4 linked regions of the Drosophila melanogaster genome follow. The protein of the gene in region 1 interacts with the protein of each later gene in a pairwise test. Each region holds a gene or a part of one and is shown on either strand. Other genes may lie near its edges.

Region 1 (3,875 bases):
AACTTAATGTGCAATAATGAGTGTCATGTAATGCCAGACGCGTTCGATTCGAATTGCCAACCAACCAACAAACAAACAAAACTGAACTCAACTCAAACAGCAGCTGCATTGGCGGCTAAAGGAAAATAAAAGAGAAAAACCCAATGCAGCATTAGCAACGACAACAAATTAACATTTTTCAAAACTTTAAAGCCCCGACATGCGTTGACACTTTCGGGGAAAATTGCGTACAATTTCAAATGCAGGCACAAAACTTTACGCGTAATTACGACACTGGGGAAAACAGGAGGAAAATATAAATGGCAATAAGGGGGGGGGGGGGGGCACAAAAAAAAAACAAATAAATAAAACAAACCGCTGGCAAATCGCGTTCGCTGCGCCGTTGACAGTTGTAAAATGGAAAGGTTATCCGGACCCTGGTCGGCAAAAACCATGGACAGCCAACAAATGCGTCGAGGAAAGTGCCTTCGGAAGCTGCAGCTGCTACTGGAGCTACTCATGTCCCATTCCCCATGCCCCCCCGCCACGAACTCAATCCCCTCCTGCCACAGAGACTCCGCCAATGAGCTTCTGTCGTGGACAGTGACTGATGGTCTGGGAGAGCTCCGCTCTTTTCTGCCTCCAATGATTACGATGATGATGAAGACGGCGATGACAGGGCAGCATTTAACCAGCGCTCAGCAGTTAGATAACTATATATAAATTATGGAAGCCAGACGATAAAAATCCTCGACAGATCGCTCTAGAACGTCTACCATAGTTTATAATTCTAAATATACGTATGTTGAAAATGTTTGATTGCAATTGTGAACAAATTATAATTGGTTTTATCTTATTTTCCAATATACTCAGTATTCTGTAAATAATTGACTTTTATTTAAATACCTTTTTAGCTCAATAGCTGTTTTAAATTCAGGAGAAATATTATTTCTATTGAGTGCAATGCATTCGAGCTCAGAAACTCAATCGTTTAGCTCGGTTGTGATTTTCCATACAAATTCGTATGCAAATTCAAAGGTATATATAGCCAATAGTCGGGGCAACAACGCGCTCGCAAGGGAAGCACTTGAGCCTTACTTTGATGCACATATCCCCATTAAGTTGGCCCCCGTCGAGCTTGTGGCTCCCAATGCGGCCATGCAGTAGGTGAGAGAGAGAGAGAGATCTCTTGGCCTCTTGGCCCAGAACCCACTCAAATATGCTAATCCACTGGAAGTCCACACAGACCTCCACAGACAGCCCACAGTAGAGTGCATGTTTCTGAGCTTCAGGAAAAGTAGTTGCATAAAGCTACAATGCCTTTCCAGAATCTCACAGAGGAAGTAATTTGAAATTACGGAAGGACAGGCTTTCAATTACGGTAAGCTAACTTACCGATATAAAGGGAACATTCTGTAATCGTGGGCAATTGACAGATTCTGTCAATGACAGAAAATCAAGAAAAGTGGCTTTATATTCGCAGCTTAAAAATATTAGCCAGCTCTTATCTGTTTCACTTAATTCTTCATAACATACTTGTAATTTGAATTAACCTGAATATTATTTTCTAAACTTATTTATCCAGCTGAAAACTGTCGTTTTTTAATATCTGAAAATTTTCTAGCAGTCTTCAGTTAGTCAGTAGATTTCGTTAGGTTACTAGCACAAAAAAAAAACATTTTGAGTGAACTAATACCACTCAAAACGCCTTGACATATCACATATTTCATTCCCAGTTAAATTTTCCTAAGTAATTTCTTTAAAAGGAAGTGGTTTGTTTTCTTGAACCACGATGGAAAATCTCCAACCGGAGTCGGATCGCGTTGGCCATATTGTCTGGGATGAACCGGGAGCCTCGATTTTTGCCACCGCCTCCCAGGAGCCCGTACCGAATCTTCTGACCGAGTTCAAACCAATGCCGAAGGGCGAGGACGACTGTGTTTCTGATAAGGATGTGTGCCGCATTCTTACACAGTCGTCTGTCGCGGAGAGCTCATTGTTCCGAATGGTCAAACACCAGGTGGACGAAGTGGCCGCCATGCTCAACAGTCACCTGCATCCGCGCCAACGGAAGGAGCAAACCGATGTGGATGTCACCCTCGGTGTAGCAAGGGAACTGGCTCGCCAGCAGGTGGAGGCCAGTAGATGCCTTCAACTTCATCGCAATGTGGAAAATTTGAGGGATCTCGAGATGGAAGTGGCCCGTGCCCACACAGCGTTGGCTGTCAAGAACAAGATCACCAACAATATCAAACAAACGGTGGAAGATAAGCAGCGGGAGCGGGCCGAAGCTTTGGCGGAACAGCGAGCCGTGGAAAAGGAGCTGAAGGAGGAGAAGCAAAGAAGGGCTCAGAAGGCAGCCGTGTTTCGTAGAGATCTAATGGCCCAGATTACCGAGGGGCGTACCAAGCGGATACAAGATCATCGAATAGCTGTGGCCGAGGGTCGTCAAGAGCTAAAGGAATGCAAGGAGATAGTGGAGCAGGGAATCCTAAAGGATGCAGTTACAAAGGCGCAGCAGCGCAAGGTGCTCCTCGAATCCCTAGACCAATCGGCAGCCATGTTGAAGCAAACCCGCGAGGCCTACGCTCTGGCCCAAAAGAATAAGCCCGAGAGAGGACTCCTTGATGCCCTGGGACCCGTTACGGCGGCCTATGTGTCAAAGGCACGGAAACGACGCCTTGATGAGATCGAGGCCAGGGACATTAATGCCGCTCGGCTGGGCTTCCAGCTCAGCCAGATCAAGCACGATCTGGAGTCCCGAGATCAAGTCATCACCAGTCTGCTAATCCGCGAGCACAAGGCCAAGGAGAACGCGAAGGCCTTGGAACAGGCTAGAACCAAAATGGCCAAGAAGCAGGAGATTCGCGAACAGCTCCTCAGCCAGCGGGAAGAGCAGAAGTTCTTCCGAGATAAGGGTGTGCAGGATGCCCTGGTCATGCCCAAGGATCCCATGTGCTTCGGCGAACGACAGTATCGAATGCAAGTGGCCCAGCGGGAGAACACCCGGCGCTTGGATGTCCAATGCTACCAGGACATGGCCCACATGGTCGTGGAGGCCAAGAATAACAGGAAAGCCGCTGCCCAGGAGGTGGTTGACATTGTACAGGAGGTCTACAACCAACAGAATCGCCAGGATGAGCTTGTGGCTATTGAGCGGATGAAGCTGCTCTCCAAGCAGCCACCTGAAGTTCTTTCAGCGCTCAAGAAATCCATTCTCACCGAAGAGGAGATCAAGTCTTTAAACCTTAAGAAGTAGTTAATGAGTTTTCATTTAATACGCGCTAGATGCCCGTATTAAGGCTTGTAGAAACAAAAAATACAAAAAAGTACTTTTTGTTTTTTTCTTCGGGTTATTATTAAACCTACGCCCCCCTGGATGTTGGCTATTATTTATCAAGTATACTACCTCATGTGAAGCAGCCCACTGGCACAGGATGTGCTTAATTTTCCATTTTGCTGCTCTGCACTTTTAAATAGACTTTGCTGGCGCTGCCGGGATGGCAAATGAAATTCACTTTCTTATCCATTCTTTGGCCAAGCTTTTGCAGCAGGTCAGGTTTCCAGGTTTCGTACTCGAGCAACCGGTTTACCGACATTGCAGCTGGAAATTTGTTTACAATAATACGGTTCGAACGCACGCAGATGGGAGCGTAAGTGCACTTTGAAACCGGGCTTACATACATTTCCTTTACTTTCCATTTCTGGACTCATTAGCCGGCTGCCGGAGGAGACAGGTTTATATTTCATAACTGGCTGGCGAAGAAGGCTCAAGAATGTTGGCAAAGTCAGTTTTTTGGCAACCATTTTGGAGCACTCTCTTGACGACCTGCGGAAACTTTCCCTGGCAATAACTTTGGCTCCAAGTTTCAGCTTCAATGTGCAGAAAAAAAGAT
Region 2 (5,088 bases), on another chromosome or scaffold:
TTGGATAGTAACGCGACGACGACGAGTCACCCTGGTAAGATCGTCGAGGTCTTGGGCTCACCTCACTGTCGTGTTGGCGAATTTTGACGGAATTCTTACTATAGCCAGTGGAAAAGTGTCCGGTCGGTCCACCAGATGATCGGCTGCCGTTCCTGCCGCCCTCGCTGTTGCCGCTTATGGCCGGAGATCCTCCGTTGCCGCCGGCGCTCTTATATCCTGAGCCGTTAGAGCCGCCCTTGCGGTAATTGCCGCCCAGCGAATTCGATCCTGACGATGGCGAGGAGCCCTTGTCGATCTTCACCAGATTCTTGAGGTTGTTAAACGTATCGGTCGCTGTGGTGATCGGCAGAAGATTGGGACTGGTGTTGAGCAGTGTTTTGCCGACCGACGGTGTCGGTGGGGTTTGGCCACCGCAGCTGACGCCGATAACGCCGCCGCCTCCGCCACCACCGCGATTGGTTGGCTGCTCGTAATTGCGCTCGATCTCGCTGGGATTGGCCGTTATTACCAGTCGTAAATCGCTGCCGCCGCCGATGCTCTTCGTATCACCGGTGCTGGTGCCTCCCTCAATGATGATCGCTTTACCGCCCCGAAACTGATCTATGATGACGCCTGCCTGGTGCCCGTTGGTGACTCCGGACCAACGTTGCGGACTGTCGTCGTAAGAGTGCAAAAGGGGAGCGGCGTCGTACGTTGATAGAGGAATGGTGGATGCTTTTCTTGATCGACTCGGGGGCGAAATGGGTGCGTGCTTGGGTGGCACGGAGTGGGCTACTCTTGGCGTCTTGGTTGGTTTCCCCGTTTTCTGGGGATCTGGATCCTAGTTAAGGGTCTTAGATCCTCCTCGTCTGCTCTGTGGTTCTGATGATCCTTGGGGACACTCGACGAAACGCACACAAATCTAACACACACACGCGTACGCACACAGAGACAAGTTATGGGTTATGGGTGCTGGCTTTTTATCCAACTCTGCTACTGTTCCTTCCGATTTCGGTTCTTCCTGGTTGGTTCCTTTAGGCTAGAAGTAACAAGTCCTGCGTGGTAACACCTGGGATTCGTCTCTCCGTTTCGTTACGTCACACTGGGTATGGCCTTGCGTTTAGGGAATCCTGGAGAGAAATGGGAGGAGGAAACAAACAAAAGCCGGAACCGTGGCAAATTAATAAAAATGAGAATCAGACGAATCAACAATTACGTACAATTGTGACAAAAATACAAAAGAAAAGTGATCCTAGTGGTGTGCGTGTGGGATTATTTAAATGGACGTTATTTGCTAATCTCGTCCGATTGTTTTTGTTTACACTCGATTTCACTGCGAGCAAGCGCCAGCACAATAACAATAACATCACCTGCCATCCAAACTGGAAAATATGCATTTAATGGAAATAACCTCGGATGAGCACCTTCAAGTTTATTCCACTTCCACTCTCTCCCGCCAATTGAAACGGCACTGCCGCATTCTACGGAATCGCATGTGTGCAAGTGTTGGTGGCATTGCCATTTAAGCATTAAGTGCTGGGAAGATTATAATTAATCACAGGTTTACACAATGCCAACCAGCTTTGTGCCGTTGCTTAGTTTTATTTTTGCAAAGTTACTTTCGCTTGATTGACTCATTTGTTGTAGCCTGCCGTTCTTTGTTCCAGCTTTCTTTGTTTGGCGCACTCTCTCCCACCACAAACTTAAACAACACCAACACACATGCACCGAAAAGAACTAGAAGCTGCGTCCGTGTGTCAGTGTCCTTTCTTTGTGTTGGGGTTTATGGCCTCAGCTTTGGGGATCTCCTCTCTTTCTTCCTCTCTCCCGCTTTCCATTCAGCTGGCCATCCCGCTCGCACGCGATGCTGGTCTTCTGCGCCACGGAATTAAAGTCTCTTGACCCCGGGAAATAGGCAGAGGCGCACAACGAGCAGGGGGTTGCAATTGCTGATTAGCTGAGTCACTACTCCATTCCGCTCAATTTGCTTGGTTTAATTGATTGGCCATAGGACGACGAAGTCGCAAACAACCCTGCGATTTGTCATTGTGCGAGTACACCACATACATACATACGAACTTTGGGCCTGCAATAATGTAGTCTTTCGTGCGGGGAAGGGATAAGCCAAAACTAAACACCCCCAATGCGAAAACCCACCCTCTGCTGCATTGAGGCGTCGACCCCGACCTGAGAAATGAGCCCCCCCTGCTTCCGCACAGACCCAGTTGTGGATGATTTTGACCTCAATTCGAGCGTTCGGCTCGGCTCTTGTGCACAAGTGTTTGTCGCTGTCTGCATGTTTAACTGGCCAAGTGGCACACCCACATTGCAAACAGTATTTATTTTACTAGTTTTTCGGGGGCTTCAAGAGCAAATATCTTGAGAAAACCCATGAAAACGCACTCTTCTTTTTCCCCCATCGATAGTGACGAAAGCACACACACATGCAAGCAGCACAATGCGTGTGTGTGGGAGATCAGAAAGCAGCTGGAAGGCACACGCCAAAAGTGAAGCTGTGGAAATGGAATGGAAGAAAAAAAAAACTCCATGAGAGGGCTGTCTTCCCGGGGAGGGGGCACTGTAGATAACTCAAGCAAAGGCAGCGGGCAACGTCAACACAGCATTTCAGATTTTCCGACGTGCCGACGCCATTTTGTGGCGCAAATAGGTGTACCTACACACACAGTCATACGCGTAAACTTTCTTTGTGTTTTTTTTTCTCTCGAAATGATTCATGCAAATTAACGTTTTGATTGACGAATTTCGACCCTGCTTGCTCTTGAAAATTATTACCGCGATGGAGCGACTATGGCATCTAGGGGAGCTCCTCACTTTTATTGATTTCACTACTTGATTTTTCGCCGTGAAGAAACGAGGACGTTCACACAAGCACACACACTTATACAGACACAATAGAATCGGTTTTCTCTGGCACATCGTGGAAAATTTATAGGCTAAAATGCGGAAAATCCACCTGCAAAGAAGTGTACTTTCCATATTCTCTCTAAAGACAGCAAAAAACCATTTGCAAAGTATACTCGTTAAATTATTTTTACTAACCTTTTCTTGAGTAATTTCGTATAGCAAATCACGCAAAGGTTCCACGAAATAGAGCTGGAACAAAAATCGATGTGCGTTTGGTTTTATCGGTGTAGCCAGAAGATAGTAGTATCGATTTTTCGCATGCAGCAATCGATAACCTGTTAACTTAACTAAAAATGTGCCAAGTAGCTATTTCACAATCCATGGTGTGGAACTTGGAAAAATATCGATGACTCGAAAAGCTATCGAACCGGCTCGACTACTCAACAGTGCTGCAAAAGTTTTATTTCGATTAGGTGTTGACAAATTTTGAACGACCGCAATATTTAAATCGTATTTCAAGCAGATCTTTTGTACAAAAACAGTTTCATTTATTAATAATTGATATACCTGCTTTTTATGTTGTTGCTTGTTAAACTATAACAAAAGTAAACTAATTTAAACTATTATTACTAATATTATTATTATTCGTAGATGACCAAACTGTAATTTTAAATTAGTGAGCGAATATTGTATATTAATATTGTATCCTTATTGATTCGAAAGATTTTGCTTTATAGTTGCTAAGTGCATTGAGTATATTAAAAAAACAGTATCTAAGCGCAATACAACATTTTTACCTCTGATGTGCAATGCTCGTTCATATCTAGAACTGGATCTTGTGAGTATAAATTTGTTAATTAAAACTAATTACTAAGCCCACAAACGAGGACATCATTTTGCTACCTTCATTTTCAAATTGTTTTCGTCAGCGTTTACAGAGGGTATAATTTTATTTAATTGAAATGACCGATCGTTAGCAACCAGTGACAGATATAGTTTAAATATTGCGGCACACATCAACATTGTAGTCCGTGCCCTAGGCCGCACTATCGCCTCGTTTGATATATGTATTTCCCTGGCATTATCAACGCAGTCATCTACAACCCTTTTCCCTCCCCAACTCCTTGCTGGTTTTCCACACACAAATATACACACACGCACACTCACACACTGTCGCACTCGCAGGACAACCATGAAGAAGTGGGAAACCGAACAGAAGAACAATTTAATTAGTGATGACATGTTGCCATTTAATTTTCTTGTAAAAAGCGTAATTAAAAATGTTCGGCTCGCAGCTGGAGCTGCTGGAAGCGTCAAGGTGGAAGGATAAGGACACGAAGGCAAAGGCGAAGCTAAAGGATTCGTAGGTAAACAAGCCCGCAACGATCATATATCGGTAGGTTGGCTATAAATCATATTGCGACTGACTCCGGCGCATATTAGGGCCTCCTAAACGATGAGATAATCTATGGTCGCAGCGACAACAAAATGCGGCCACCGGCAATAAATTTGGAAAATACAAAACATTCTGACAATTTTCCGTGGCCCGTATGTGTGCGTGTGTGTGTGTGTGTGTGTGTGTGTGTAGTAAGTTTGTGAGACTATCCTGGCTGGCTGCACACATCGAGGACAAAGGGCACAGGACACAGTAGTCACGTCAACACTTTCAACTCTTTGGGCTGCCTTTTGTTTCGCCCTTCGTCGTATCCTTTCGGCAATAAAAATTCCGTTTGCTATTTATCTTGATTGTCCCCAAGTCCCCAAGTCGCCATTGCCATCGCCATCGCCCTATCGCTATCGCCATAGCTATATAGTCCCGTAGTCGGGTTTATGTGCAGGACCTAGTCCAAAGTCCGGACACTTGAATGTTGGTCGCCGTCGCGATGCCTGGACATTTTTTGCTTAATGAAATGTACATAAAACTAAATGAAATTAAGTTTGTGGCGTGCTCGTGCCAAGTCCGATGGCCCACTCCACATTGTAGTCTAAGCCGTGGCTGCGTGTTTATTACCGCGTCGCGCATAAAATGCAAAGAGCCTTTCCCGCGCTCAAAATGGCCGACAGCGAACCCTTTTCCCGGAAATCGCAATCCCTATCGTCCGTTTCGCATTGAAAATTAAAGCGGTCGCTGGAACCGTTGAAGGGGGTGGACGGGGCGTCGCAAAAGCTCATAAAGTCGAAATTAAATAATTTGTCTTCTTAATTTTCAAATAAATTCTTCATCATACGAGAAAAAGGGAAAAG
Region 3 (3,231 bases), on another chromosome or scaffold:
GGGGGGGGGGGGGGTAGGGCTGAAAAAAAAGTATGGAAAAAACAGAAATGCCATTGCCACGTGCCGTTTGACCTTTCCCCATTGGTCGCCCGGCGAATGCGATGAACCTCAAGCTCGGCGCTCGCAAATGAGACATTTCAAAATAATCGCAACCAGAAATACACCAACAACAAGTATAGCAGTCGTGGCAGAAAATACCAGTGTCGCCTCCGTTTGGGAATCCTTCAGCCGAAGGCGAAAAAAGTCGCATCAAAAGGTCCTATTGATTTAAAAGGCAAGCAGCTCAAGGCAAGGTCTAAAATGTTGTTGATTACGAGTGTCGCCCATTAAATAAGGGCCCTGAAACAATGTCAAGAATTTCAGCAATATTTGTCTGCAAATCGCAATGCATGGCCATCGAGAAAAGCATTTGCTCCGTAATACTTTTTCAAAACTAATGGTATTTGCATTTAAATTGGATTGGATAATACTTTGTAGGTATATCTACTTTTGAAACTATTCCACTTGATTTAAAGATATTTCTTTATTGTTTTGCAAGCCTATTCAAGTTATAGAACAAATACAAATTTTTGGGATATTATCTATGTGAAAAAGTGAAAAAAAAACTAATCCAAAAGTTGCTGTATATTAATCTACATGCTACCTTTCCACAACAGCTTATTTTCAATTTCCATTTTAGCGTACTGCTCCCTCAGTTCTTCGAGTTCCTTTGAGTTCCTAGCAGCCAAGCGATACAATTGGGCATTTAGGCCAACGATTCTTTCCCTTAGAGCATTCACTGTATATTGGCTAAGACGTTCTGGCCGAAAGACATCCTCCTTAACGGTGGCCACAAAATGCCACATATCCTGAAGCTCTCCACGCTTTTCGCTGCTATATAGCTTAAGTTTTTCATGGAGCACAAGTTTCTCCTGTTCGATTTCGTTGATCAGACCTATTAGATCTGCCGTGGAGGAACTGTTGGGTCGTGGATTTCGACCAGTTTCCGGCTCTTGGCAAGACTCGGTCTTTGAATCTGTGCCCTCATCATCTTTGAGTATGAAATTATTGGGATTCAGCTTGACTTGATTGCATTCGAGATATTTTTGCTGCGCCTTCAGGCGCGTCAATTCACACAGAATGGCGGTAGGTGTTAGTTTTGCCGCCCTGATCTTGGGCGGAATTTTAACTTGATTCCGTTTACGAGCGGGTTTTTCCGGCGGTTGAGCCCTTGGAGCCGTTGGCTTTTGTTCATCGTCTTTTGGATTTTCCATTGGGGCTTCGGTAGCATGTGATTGTTGCACAACATCCAAGGAGAGAGTCGTTGCAACTTCTGCAGCGCTCGTTTGGTTGTTCTTATTTACACGCGGTAATCAAACGTGTTGCCAGCACACCCAACCACCCACCCACTCCTTCCACGTGTTTAATCGATATGCAACCTTTCCACCCCCCTCGATTTTTCCGGCTGCTGTGCCAACAATTCTATGCTTCTGCCGGGGGTCAGTAAACTTTATTTGGCTTGGCTGGATTTTACAATTTTCCAAACGGCAGCGGTAACTTTCAGTGGAAATGGAAAATCGATTAGTACAATTACTGTTTCCATGTCATGGCCTACTTAATTGCCCATGGAAATGGGACAAACGGGGTCGTGGCTTGAAGACCACTTTCGTGGCTAACTAATTTCTAATCAGTACTTGTGGGAGACCGGGAAAATCCACCTGCTAGCCAAAAACTCAAGTGACGATCAAATGTTTGGCGAGCTAATCAAGTTTCAATGGACTAACAAAAGTATAAAGTAAAAGTAGGAAATACAACAGTGAGCCTTGCTTTAGTGGAACTAATATATTAAATCACAATCTACAATCAATGAAATCAAAGCTAAGAAGGTTTATATATTATGCAAAAATGTTCGTTATATTTAAGATTCACTGTTAACTAACGAAATTCGTTTATATTTAAATTGCCTTTTTTTTTTATGTACGGCTAAAATTGCTGGAATTACAAAAGTGCTTGGTATGGAAGTTTGACTGTTTGTGCGGATGAAATGTTGATTTATTATTTGTTTTGCTATCGCCTGCAAAGTCAAATCGGGCAGCATTAACTTGGCGCGTGCTGTTTGTCTTCTGTCTCCCTCCCACCCACCAGCCACAACCCACTTGCGCCCACACCACCCACTCCGCTGTGCGACAGAGACAGAGAGCGAACGCACGTGACTGATTTGCGAATTTACTTTTCTTGCGATGACAAAACATCGTGGATGAAAAATCAGCAGAAGAAGCAACTCCACTGATAGCATTTGTGCTTATCATTGGAATGTATGTATGTATGCGTATTTTTTTTTTTTGCTGCAGATAGCATAGTTTTGTTAGTATCAAAAGCATACAAATATGAACGTGGAAATGCAAAGGAAAGGCAAAAGGTCGACCTTAGATTTAGTGCGCATAATTTTTTGGGTTTTGTAAACACACACACACACAGTAGAAATATGATAAAAACCGCAGACACACGAATGGTGAGCTGCAAAAAGCCGCGAAATTGTTAATAAAAAGGTAAATAAAAATTGTTAAACGATTTCAGCCACCCATCTCGCTCGCTCATCATCTCCGTCCCGCTTGCACTCGCTTCTTTTCGGTCTGACGCGTGTTAGATGTTCAAACATGTTTTCGGTCTGCTGGCCAAAAGGCAACGCTCAGACGGCAGCTTAAATATTTGCCCATAGCGAAAGATCAATCAACAAATGTGAGCGAGACGGTGTGAATTGACCAGAAAGAGACGGGTAGAGCATAGGGCTGCACAGAGAGAAATAATATCGACATATAAATAATGAAATGTATAGTAGCATACAGTTTAAACAGTTTAAAAACTCACATTTGCAATGCGGTTTTTCATCTTAACTTGGAATGAAATTTAAAAAATATTTTATTTAAGTTCCCCTGCTTTTCTCTATGTAAAAACAAACACGAGTGGTATATAGAGTGTCTACGCTGCATGGCTGGTGCTTAATTGCATCAATTGGAGCATTAAAACAGTTGCCAAGGCAACTACAGAAAAATTCAATTAAACTAAAACTTGCCAATTGAGTGCAAACACATTCCGCACACAAAGAAAGTAAACTGAAATTCAATTTGAAAAACGGCACATGAAAGCGATCAAGAGAGCGTAGAACTCTAAACAAAGAAAGAAATCAATTAATACTATTTATATTGGCTAAGAAATGATAAAACTGTTTATTTCAGAGTCATTTCCCCCGCA
Region 4 (4,911 bases), on another chromosome or scaffold:
TAAGTTGATGCGCGGCAATCGGACGGTGAAGGTCAGTTCGAATGCCTTAGACGCGTTCGACTCACCGAATGTTCCACCACTGGCCAGGATCGGCATTGATGTGAACGTCGACTACCGCCTGATATTCCGGCCATGCACTATTGAAAGGTTTTGCGTACACTTGAATCTCGACGAGAACGTCGGCTTGCTGCGAATCTTTCCGAGCATTTCGCACTCCACATTCCGGGCTTTCCTGGCGCCACCGATTCGCGGCGTTGTCCTGCAATCCTTCGGATCTGGAAACATACCATCGAACCGAAAAGATCTCATCGATGAACTGCGTGCGGCTGGTGAACGAGGCGTTATCATCATCAATTGTACACAGTGTCCCAATGGCACAGTGGCGGAGATCTACGATACGGGCAAGGTGCTCTGCGATGTCGGTGTAATTCCCGGTTTCGATATGACGCCCGAGGCGGCGCTGGCCAAGCTGGCCTATGTCATCGGCAAGGAGGAGTGGTCACTCGATATGAAGAAGCAGGTAAGTTTCGACTATAATTCAATACATACATAAATATGGATAATCCACAATGTGTGCATTTCATAGATGATGCAGTCAAGCCTGAGGGGCGAACTGACCTCCTTAAAGGCTCCCAAAATGGAGGACTACGACTTGGTGGACGCAGTGGCACGGTCTCTGCACTTGTCCTCGCCCCAAGAACTGGATCAGCTGGGCGAAACGCTCTTTCCGGCCATGATCAACGCCGCTGTGGCCGAAGGTGATCCCAAGAAGATCAACAACTTGAAAGCCTATGGCGCCGACTTGTCGGGCACAAATCATGACCAGCGAACGGCCCTACACTTGGCTTGTCAGCTGGGAAACGTGGAGATCGTTAAGTACCTACTGCAGAACGGGGTGTCCGTGCACGTGCGTGATCGGTATGACCGCACTCCACTTCTGGAGGCTGTCGCCACCGATAGCCACGAGATCATCCAGTTGCTCATCAACTGTGGTGCTCATTTGACGGGCTCTTCGCGAGCGGTGGGCGAGCAATTGTGCGCGGCCGCTGCTAGGGGATCGATGATCAGATTGAAGTCCTATCAATACGCCGGTGCCGATCTTGCCCAGTCGGATCCTTCGGGCAGGACGGCCTTGCACGTGGCAGCACTGCACGGATTTCCGGAGGTGGTGCAATACGTCCTGCCCTATTTCGAGAATCCGAACGAGAAGGACATGCTCGGCCTGACCGCCATGGATTATGCGGAGCGCGGCGGACACGCAGCGGTTATGGAGGTCCTAAAATCATAGAAATCTCTTCCGAACCATACATACCTCGTTCCTTGTTCCTGCAGCATGAAGAAAAAAACAAACACTGGAGGCTAGGGTTATTTCTTTTGTACTTAAGTGTTGCATCTAGTCTAATGGTTCCTTATTATCAGTTTTGCATAACTCGCATATTAACGATGTTGTCGTGGTAGTTTTTATTATTAAGTGTCGAATCCCTGACCTGTTTTTAAGTAGTCCTTATTTACTAATGTATCCATTGTATGCAATAATATTATTAGCCAAAACCAAAAATTAACCAATCATGTCTAAAATTAAGCATCAGACATATTAAACGGTTGTATAACAAGTTATATACACAAACTAGTATAATTTGTTGTATGAAAATAAATAAAATCAATTTGAAATTAATGCAAAATTTTTGAATTAGTTTGTAATCGATTGATTGATTACGAGCGCAAGTGCTATCGAGCCATCTGTCATTCGATAACTTACCAGGGCTTTGTGACCCTATTCAGTTGTTGCGCAGCCCTGGTATCGAATTGTTTTTACGCTGGCATTAATTAGAATTGGTAAATATACATCTGTCAGCGTGCACATAAGAAAGCTCTTACGTTGCAATCTAGTGCTTAGTGGCTTGTAACTCAGAAACCAGGCGAAAATCGACACAAGCGCTGGAAAAACAGCAAACAAAACACACACACAGCCCCACTCGCACACACACAGCCGCACACACACGCACACATCTATAGAGAGGTGCACACGTCAGTGCCACGAATTCCATAAAATAAAAAGAACAACAAGAAACGCAAATTCAAAGCTAAAGACAATTCTAGCCGATCGGAAGCGGATGATATATGTTAGCTATATGGTAAACCCTCTCTCGTTGCAGTCAATGTCGATAGCTAGCGCTGCGCAGCCACCGTGGATATATAATCGGTCCTTCAGATAGCCAGTCCGCATATATATTCCCGATTCCCCCGATTTGTGTTTTTGTTTGTTTTTGGTTTTTTTTTTTTTTTTGTTATTGCTGCTGCATTTGGTCCGGTACGCTAGGATAGTTAGTAATATTTTGTAATTGAAACGACAATGGCGGAAGATTCGGGTGCTTTGGAGAGCTCCTACGACTTCTCCATCGTTCAGGTGGGTTTCACTTGGTGTTCCCTGTACGTACATGCGTCCATACTGATCATGACCACTTGCAGCCCGACGATCACGAATATGGCGAGGCGGATATACGCTTAGCGGGCAGCTCCAACGATCTGTCCTCGTTACAGGTGGGTAAATCTGAACAAATCCCCCAAGTGAAGCAGGATTCAATATTATCTGTTGAATCTACCCTACAGAATGTATCCGCCAGCACAACGAGAGGCACCAAAGGCAAGGGCCGTTTGGATAGCCTTAAAGAGAATCTGTACAAGCAGCAGGTGAGTTAGGCGCTGTGAATCAAGTGGTTCATATCATTAAATGACTCGAAATGATTGCTTTCAGGAGCGCCTCACTGCCTTAAAAGAACGCGCCTTAAGGAAATCCCAGGATGAGCGACACAAGTCCAGCATGAGTGACTCCATGGAGTCGCTTAAGACACTGGGTCAGAAGCTCACCGTGTTGAAGACGCGCTCCGGCGACTCCTCCACTCCACTGGTCTCACCCACAAAGGACAGCGACCCCGGTGATGTCTCTTTACTCCAAACCAGTGGCAGCGAGAAGCTTCTGATGCTCACACAGCGCACGGAACAAAATCGTGCTTTGTTGGAGCAGCGCAAGAGGGATCTGGCCAAGTCTCTTCTTTCTGTAAAGTCGAATATTGGCCACCAAACGACCGCCGAGCTGGGCTCTTCCATGACGGACCTACGACACGCGGCGTCTGTCTCCAATCCACCCGTATCCCGCCATCGTTCTGCCTTGGACTTGGAGGCCCAGGGTCAGGAGGCGGTGGACGAAAGCCGGGTGAAGTTGCTCAGGAGTCGTATGAAGTTGACGGAACTCAAGCAGGGCCGGCAGGAACAGGAGCTAAATGAATTGCGTACAGAACTGGCCAAGCGCGCTAAACTCATCGAGCGATTGGAACTATCCGGTGCGGAATTACAGCGCACGCTCACCCAGCGAAACGAGGAGTTAGAGCAATTGCGTGTGGTCCAGGCAGAAGAGGATAGCCTGAAGGTGCAGGAAAACTCTCGCCTCCAGGGCGAAGTTTTAGTCTTAAGAGAACGACTAGCAGAGCTGGAAAACGTCAACGACCTGTTAGAAACGACGCGCTGTGAACTTCAGGAAGAGCTGACCACGGCGCGCGAAAGACAGCGTAATCTGGAGTTGGAACAAGAGCAGGAAAAGGCTTCCCGCAGTCCGCAATCGGAAGCAGCGCATACCGATGCACAGGTGAGCGCGGAGCTAGCCAAACAGCTCCAGGAGCTTACCAACCAGCTGGCTGATCTACAGGCAACTAATGAGGAGTTGCGTCAGCAAGTTGCTGCCCAGGCGAAGCTCCAGGTGACCGATGAGATTGTTTCCCAGCGCCTTGAGGAACTGGAAGCCACCATAGCGGCGCAGCTTCTAGAGCTGCAGGAACAGAAGTCGGCAATGGCTGCCCAAAACGAAGAACTCGCAGAAAAGACAACGGAACTCAATGTGCTCAATGTGAATCTGCGTCTCCTTGAGGAGAAACTCGCGCAAAGCAGTCGCAGTAAGCCCCTATTTCTGGAGGACCATTCGGAGGACAGTGCCGCCAGCAAGCAGATGCAGGAGGATCTGCAGCAGCTGAAGCTAAAGCTGGACGAAACTAACAAGGCCAACATAAAGCTAAAGCTGAAATGCAAGCAGGCGGAAAAGAAGCTGCAGAAATTCCAATCCCAAGATGGCCAACAGCAGTTGGCTTCACTGTTGGCTGATAACGAGGAACTGCAGCAAAGGATCGCCGTCCTCGAGGACGAGAAGGGTCAATGGCAGTTGGCCAACATGCAAGAGGACGACCGCCAGCCAGAGCAATCGACGGAGTCCAATAATCCACTGCAGCTGGAAACAATTCGTTTGCTGGAAGAGCAGAAATTGGAATTGCAACAGGCCCTAGAGGCCTTACTCAGTTCATCCAGTTCTGCGGAATCCATTGAAATAGTGGAGCGTCATCACTTAGAGTGCCTAGGCCAACGACGTCCGGCCAGCGAGGGCGACGCCCAGGAGCAGAAGCAAGTGCATCCACCAGGGCCAAGTCACGTCAGCGAGCTCACTCAGACGGAGCAAACTGAGGAGGAGGATTCCTCTGGCGAAACTCTTTCCCAGCTTAGAGAACGTCTCGAACTTTTCACCCAGGAGCGCGGAGAGGTATTGGACAAGCTGGAGCAACTGTCGGCCGAGAATTTGCAACTCCAGGCAAGATTGGAGGAAAGTTCAAGTTCTCTTCAGCTGTTGCAGCGTGAACGTGAGAAGGATCTGATCTCCTCCACGTCCACTTCATCCAATCTCTCGCAGGAACTCAGTTCAATGCAACGCTCCTCCGAAGTTGTCGCAACACTGGACGCCGGCGAAGGAGGCCCCGTGCTCTTTGAGAAATGCGAGAAATCCCTGAGCAAACTCAACTCTGAATTGGAGGCCTATCGCAAGGCCAACGATAGGCAGGCCAAGTTCAATGTGTCCAAGAAACTGGCCAAGGA

What was found.
Region 2: the proteins of CG3610 (region 1) and NAT1 interact in a two-hybrid assay, tested with the Drosophila melanogaster proteins (one large-scale study listed by BioGRID).
Region 3: the proteins of CG3610 (region 1) and CG15071 interact in a two-hybrid assay, tested with the Drosophila melanogaster proteins (one large-scale study listed by BioGRID).
Region 4: the proteins of CG3610 (region 1) and lva interact in a two-hybrid assay, tested with the Drosophila melanogaster proteins (one large-scale study listed by BioGRID).

The regions. Positions count from the first base shown.
Region 1 is NT_033777.3:14,843,436-14,847,310, forward strand, and holds CG3610 (uncharacterized protein), read left to right. Parts: upstream 1-1,607; 5' UTR 1,608-1,771; coding exon 1,772-3,238; 3' UTR 3,239-3,302; downstream 3,303-3,875.
Region 2 is NT_033778.4:12,914,016-12,919,103, reverse strand, and holds the start of NAT1 (NAT1), read right to left. Parts: upstream 3,111-5,088; 5' UTR 3,040-3,110; intron 1,247-3,039; exon of another isoform or gene 1,200-1,246; intron 1,110-1,199; 5' UTR 707-1,109; coding exon of another isoform or gene 1-706.
Region 3 is NT_033778.4:18,694,656-18,697,886, reverse strand, and holds CG15071 (uncharacterized protein), read right to left. Parts: upstream 1,303-3,231; 5' UTR 1,254-1,302; coding exon 633-1,253; 3' UTR 542-632; downstream 1-541.
Region 4 is NC_004354.4:3,962,197-3,967,107, reverse strand, and holds the start of lva (lava lamp), read left to right. Parts: upstream 1-1,780; 5' UTR 1,781-2,353; coding exon 2,354-2,407; intron 2,408-2,469; coding exon 2,470-2,541; intron 2,542-2,610; coding exon 2,611-2,691; intron 2,692-2,755; coding exon 2,756-4,911. Other genes in the region: CG6428 (uncharacterized protein), read left to right, coding at 1-520, 587-1,288. UniProt on the Drosophila melanogaster protein: Lva and spectrin may form a Golgi-based scaffold that mediates interaction of Golgi bodies with microtubules and facilitates Golgi-derived membrane secretion required for the formation of furrows during cellularization.